Linked DNA regions of Xenopus tropicalis. The protein of the gene in region 1 purifies or fractionates together with the protein of each later gene. This does not show direct contact. Links are inferred from orthologs where the notes say so. Each region holds a gene or a part of one and is shown on either strand. Other genes may lie near its edges.

Evidence for each region.
Region 2: the proteins of ssb (region 1) and ro60 purify together in Homo sapiens (affinity purification with mass spectrometry; 3 studies listed by BioGRID and IntAct, with this or other methods). This does not show direct contact. The link is inferred for Xenopus tropicalis from reciprocal best matches to the Homo sapiens genes SSB and RO60.

What each region holds. Positions count from the first base shown.
Region 1 is NC_030685.2:68,416,735-68,419,292, forward strand, and holds part of ssb (lupus La protein), read right to left. Parts: intron 2,393-2,558; coding exon 2,285-2,392; intron 1,825-2,284; coding exon 1,724-1,824; intron 901-1,723; coding exon 829-900; intron 374-828; coding exon 331-373; intron 188-330; coding exon 47-187; intron 1-46. UniProt on the Homo sapiens protein: Binds to the 3' poly(U) terminus of nascent RNA polymerase III transcripts, protecting them from exonuclease digestion and facilitating their folding and maturation.
Region 2 is NC_030680.2:117,842,220-117,846,054, reverse strand, and holds part of ro60 (60 kDa SS-A/Ro ribonucleoprotein), read right to left. Parts: intron 3,548-3,835; 5' UTR 3,529-3,547; coding exon 2,949-3,528; intron 2,381-2,948; coding exon 2,160-2,380; intron 1,724-2,159; coding exon 1,577-1,723; intron 1-1,576. UniProt on the Homo sapiens protein: RNA-binding protein that binds to misfolded non-coding RNAs, pre-5S rRNA, and several small cytoplasmic RNA molecules known as Y RNAs.

The DNA.
Region 1 (2,558 bases):
GTGTTGTCAAACATTACTAGACCTAATCAAGTAGTGTGGTCGTTACCTCTTTAGCTCCCCTGCTAAAGTCAATCCATTCAATATCTCCATGAGCCTGAAACAGAGCCGAAAGGTCTTCTCTTGATGTCATATTGTCCAAGTCACCAGAGAACTTCAGGAGGCGGCCAACCCTTTCTTCCATCAGTTTCTGTGAATAAACAAGTGCTTACTTTTAAACCTTCAATGGGCCTGCTTTGAATGCTGAAGCAAGGCAACTGCCTGACGACAGTCTATAAATCCATAAGCAAGACAATCAAATAAACTTATATTTAGTTCTTAACTTTCACTTACCCTTTCTGCATCCTCAGCCTGTTTCTGGGCTTCTTCATTTTCCCTGAAAAAGGAAAAATTGTTAATAAAATCATATTTCTGTATATGCATGGATACCAGATTTTATACTACAAAACCTTAAGAATCTAATATATCAAGTAGTTGGTCTAAGGTGCAGGATTTATCAAAATTTGCATTTGGACATGGAAAAAAATAAAAATAAAATAACCACGGCAAAACATATGCAACTTTTCTTACATGCTAGATAATTTAAGAAAACACTAGAGCATAGTCCCAGTCGCATGCTGGTAAGAATCACATGGTTCCATTCATGTTTAAATAACTCAAATAGCCAGCTTTTATTCAGGTTTTTTCTGGTGATTTTTCTTGGATTTTTTTTAATACAGAACATTCATGGTTCTTAACAATATTCTTGAATATAGTCCCATTAGCATTTTTTTCTTGAATAGTGAAATCAGCCCCTAAGTTTGCATAATGCTAAGATTGTTTTTTACTTACTGCTTTGATTTGGCTTTTTCTTCAGACTTATTTAGCTTCCTCTCTTGATTCTTTTTTGCAAAGTATTCTTCCCTGTAAATAAAGATTATTATATGGAATGTGCGTAACAGTTACTCAAAATCTTCTGCAGCGATTTTTCACACGATTATGAACTGCCATGAGTAGATAGTGCAATTTTTTTTTATCCCATATATATTATGTTGGTCGGCGGAACCTACTATATGAAGCTTAAAGCAATGCCTCAGGGTGAGTTTAAGCAGAGAAGCTATGTTCTGTTGACCCTGGACTTAAAAGAAATCTCCACCCAAACAGTTTTGCATAATGAAGGAAAATGTAATTCAAAACAACTTTCCAATACATTAAATTTTTAGTGGTTGTCTGGCTGTTTCAAAAGTCAGAAGCAGAGAACATAGACAAATACTGCTTCCATTTGGCATTAAGGGGTATAGTTATCATGCTGTGTAAAAAGTGGAGTGAAGCATTACCAGTGATGTTGCCCAGGGCAACCAATCAGAAATTAGATTTCAACAGTTCTAAAACCCAAGCAAAGCATCTGATTGGCTGCTATGAGCAACATCACCGGTAATGTGTTACTCCACTTTTTACACAGCATGATAAATATACCCCTAAGTGTACAAAATTTCTAAACTGTATACATTGCAGTTGCTTAGATTTACATTTTATGTAATTATGCAAAAAAACACTTATATGGGCTTTAACACTCCATAAGATGAATAGCAGTAAGTGTAGCCAAAGCAAGTTAACAGTGGAAGACAGGCACAGACTCGGTGCTTGTGGTACACTACCAAAAAGTCATTTAAAAAAAAAAAAAAAAAGTTGACATTTGACCTGTGGATGTTTTTTTTGCGTTTGTTTTTTTAAGATATTCACCTACTTTGATAGGATAATCATATCACTGTCATTGTACTTTCGGTTTCTGTCTTCCAAAAACTTCTTTGCCTCATCCTCTGTATTAAAAATGAGAAAGATGGAGCCCTGCAAAAAAACATTTGTTTTAATGAGCAATCAGAGCACAGAAGTAAATAGCTCTATTGTACTGAAGGGATATTCAGTATGTATATGTGTTCTCTTGTGAAGCATTATGAAAAATATAATGGAGGGGGAACATGTCCTGTATTTTATTTACTGCTGTTGCTTGCAGTCCACGTACCCTAAAATGGTCCTGATTCAGAATAAAGAAAAGGGAGAGATGTTCTGACATTTCGTCTGCAGTACCAGAGCCTGTCCCATCCAAAGGCTTGTATATTAACTACTAGCCGCTGAACTGAGAAGAAGGCAGCAAACACTTAGCCAAGCACAGACATTCCGAGCAGTTATTTTGCACCTAATGCACTGCAGGGCATACTGTGTTTATCATAGGATCCCCTTGAGTATGTCCTAAGCCTTTATTTGGGGATAGAATTGTGACTCTGAAATGTGGCTTTCCCACACTTACCTTAAATTCTTTCTGGAGTGTTCTCCTCATTTGGATATTTTCAATAGGACCTTTGTCTTTGAGCCATTCTTTGATATCATCTAGATTTGCGCTGGTTGGAAATCCTTTCTAGAAAGGAAAGAATCAGCCATGAGTCCTTACAAGCAGTATACACCCAGTCTTATTGGGACCTCCTTAAAGCAGTAGAATGGTGTGTATTAATTGTATACTTGCCTTGCACATACACCCACATTCTCCCCATTGATCAATAGCATTGTTATGAACATGAAAGCAT
Region 2 (3,835 bases), on another chromosome or scaffold:
GTACAAAGGTCTAACATGTTTTACTTAAAGGGAAGGGCATTTCTTGGTAGCTTAATCCACAGAATGTCTTAATGTCCTATATATTGATAATGGGTGAGTGCAGAGGATCTCATGTTGTTGTCTGTATGAATTTTGTGCCCACAGCCTCATTGCCCCCCTCCTAATGATTTACAATTTAGTGGTGAGCACAGCTTTTCATTGTTTGCTATAGTTTATACAGGAGCAGGGCTCAGCTCCGTGTTGCAACTCCCACCCTTCCCAGCTACAGTCAGATGATTCCAAAGGAGCCAATAAAAGGGCAACCTTTTTGGGGCTTTAACCTTGAAAGTTGCAGGTAATACTCAGTCCCTTTGTTAAATGTATATTGAAGCAGAATAATTCTTAAAGGGGACCTGTCACCCTAAGAAATAATTAGAAATTGTTTTCTATTGTGTTTATCAAGCAAAATAAACTTCAATTACACTATATAAATTATTTTAAACTTATTTCCTTCTGCACTGGAATTCATAATTGCAGAAAACAGGCAGGCTCCATTTTGTGGACACTGTTATTAAGGCAAGCTGTGTATCATACTAAAATCTTGTTTCTGTGCCAGTATGGGGGGACCTGATGCCCATGTCCATGCACTGGTTACACAATTAGATGATGAGGAGGGAGGGGGAATGTGAGGAGGGCAGTGACATCTAAGAAGTTCTGAATTGAAAGTGAAAGTAACTGTCTGCCCCACCCCTATGCCTAAGGCATAGAGGCGGGTCAGGCAATATATGATTGACAGCTGGGACTTTTAAATGCTTATATAATGGGTATAGATGTGTTAATAAAAAAATGACTTTGGGTTACATGTTTAATTTGAAAAGTGCTTTTATTATACAGCTTTTTATGTCTGGGTGACAGGTCCACTTTAATGAATCAGATAAAAGTGAGTGTAGGACTGACCAGAGAGGACGACTTTCATGTAGTTGGCCAGCTTAAAGTATAATGCATATATATATATAATCACTGTTTTACTTAAAGAGGAGGGCATTGCTTGATAGCTTAATGCACAGAATGTTTTAATGTTCTATATACAGTATATTAAAAAAACATAAAAAAACATTTTTTTGCTCAACTGTGCATGCGCGGGCCCCAGATCTCGTCAAAAGGAGGAAGGAAGAGGACGTTAGGGGTGCCTAACATTTGGTGCCCCCAGTGATTTTGCCTTTCCTTCTCCTTTAACTGGCCATGCAGTGTTCACACCTGTAAGCCCCTGTATTGTTCACACTTTGAAGGCGCTGCATTGTTCATACCTATAAGACCTCAGACAGACTGTAGGAGCAGTGCCGGCATTGGTTCACTCTAGATAGTACAGTACAAACTGTTCATGTAGGAGTGGTCATGATCAGTTACTTGGTAGTCATGATATGTTTCCCTGTCTCATTCCCTACTCTGCCTGTGTGCCATACTCTGCCTGACCCTTATGTATTTAAGGGTGTGGCTTAATATGACAAAATATACTTCTTTCACATATAAGTAAAGGGTGATATCCCTGCAGTGAGCACCAATTAAACTATGTTTAATCAGAAACAACCTATAATACCTTCTTCAGCAGTTTCTCATTGGTCAGACGCTCACATACACTGGAGACTTCAGGGCTTGCTGGTGACAACACAGAGTCTGCAGTCATCTTCCCTAAATTCCTTAACAATGCAGTAAGTGGCATTTCCTGCAGCAGTGCCTTCCAGATCTGAAAAATGAAAGCAACATTGTTCTAAAATAAAATGGTACTTATAGGGTTACACAAAGTTTTTAGGGCAGATGGGCGGTTTTCAGCCTGTGTATAAGCAGTATCTACTGCAGGTAAACTATTCGCGTGGGGAATAATCTCCCTGTCTGTCACAGCCCTAACACTACTATAGTTTATATAAATAAGCTGCTGTGTAGCCACTGGGGCAGCCATTCAAGCAGGATAAAATGCACAGGTTACAAAGCAGATAACCTTTGTAGACTACAATAGTGTTTTATCTGTTACCTGCTATGTGCCGTGACACTTTCATTTGTTGGTGTAATTGTTCTTTTAAGAATATTGCAGAAGGAGACATAACAGTGATATTAGCATTTTTTAGCAAAGAAAGAGTGTTATTTGTTTAACCAGATGCATATTTTTGTTAAGTTTTACTCACCTCTTTTGACTTAAGATGAATTGTGAGGAGATGCTCTCTTACCAACCGGTACTCTTCAATCAAGTGAATGACCTCAAGCTCATCCTTGGTACGCTTTACTCTCTCGGTTGCTTCCAGATACTTAAGCACCTTCTCTGTCTCAGGTGAGAGTTCCTTTTCTTTGTATGCCTCCTGGACCTCCTTCCAGCCTTTGGAGACATACTTAGCTACCATGGTTAAACCTGCATTGTAAGCAAAAGAAAGAAAGCAAATGCCTGACTAGACCATATTGTGCTATAAAAAAATGATTTCTTACACATTATATAACAATATATACAATGTTTTTAAAAGAGCAATACAGTTCTCAGAACTCAATAATCTTTAATTAGAATTCATATTTATATCTCCTACTGAAAGGTTTATCTAATCGTGACCAGTTTTAATACTTATTTTTACAAAGCTTAGAGTGGGCTCAGAGCCCACTGTTCCCTGCACATAAGCTACACTCCAAAGTGTTACAAGCAGCAGCACTATATTGCCTATCCATCTGATATTTTGATCCTTAACTCTGCATGCACTTTGCAGTCAACAGATCTCATACAAAAATCTTTAATTAAAATTCACATTTATATCTTCTACTGAAAAGTGTATCTAATCGTGACCAGTTTTAATACTTAATATTACAAAGCTTAGAGTGGGATCAGAGCCCACTGTTCCCTGCGCATAAGCTACACTCCAAGTGCAAGCAGCAGCACTATATTACCTATCCATCTAATATTTTGATCCTTAACTTATAAAATGACTACCTACCTTCACTAGCAGGTTTTATGTGAGACAACCTTAGAAGATCCTTGTGGGACCAGCCATTTCTTTGCTTGTACTTTGTGACAGCCATTGCCAAATTAAGGGCATCTTTAGTGGTATACCAGTCAGAGACAGCTTTCCGCAGAGCTCGCCCCCACATGCCACATTTCATGCCTTCTTTCAAGTCTTTCTTGAACTGGATGAAGGTAAAGAGATGGGTGGGGATACGACATACTTCAGGCACAGCCCTGAAAGCTGCTTGCTTGGTCTTTATATCAGAGCACTGGGAGCAGACTGCTAGGGCAAAAAGTGTGGGCTCCTGTTTGGCAGCTCTTCCTTCTTGGCTGAATGTTTTGATCTCCTGGACAACTTCACAACCTTTGCCATCTTCTATGAGCCTTAGAAGAGCTTCTGCATTCTCCTGGCCCAGTTTCTTTTCTTCAATGTAATAAGTCCCACCTTCTGATCCAAAGCACAGGAATCGTCTTAACCGGTTCATATCCGACACTTGCCACACATAGCATCCTTCAGAATTGGGCACCTGCCTCTCACTTAAGGGCTGTGTTTGATCCACTGTGTCATCCATTTTTACTTTCTTGAACCTACTGGAATTATGACCATTGATTATACATATTTGGCAGCACAAAACAAACATCTAACTAAGACACTGTTTTGTCAGTGCAGCTCTAACCAAAATCCATGCAAATCATGCTCACGTGACCAACAGTGGCATAGCCAAATCAGCCACATATCCCCCTCATAAATTGTTAAGGGAACTGTCACTAAGGAGTGAATAGTATAATAGTATAAGGACAGTGAATAGTATAAGGACAGCATATTAATAAGGGGAGCGGGCCTAAAAAGCAGGGGAATTTCACATTGCAAACAACTTT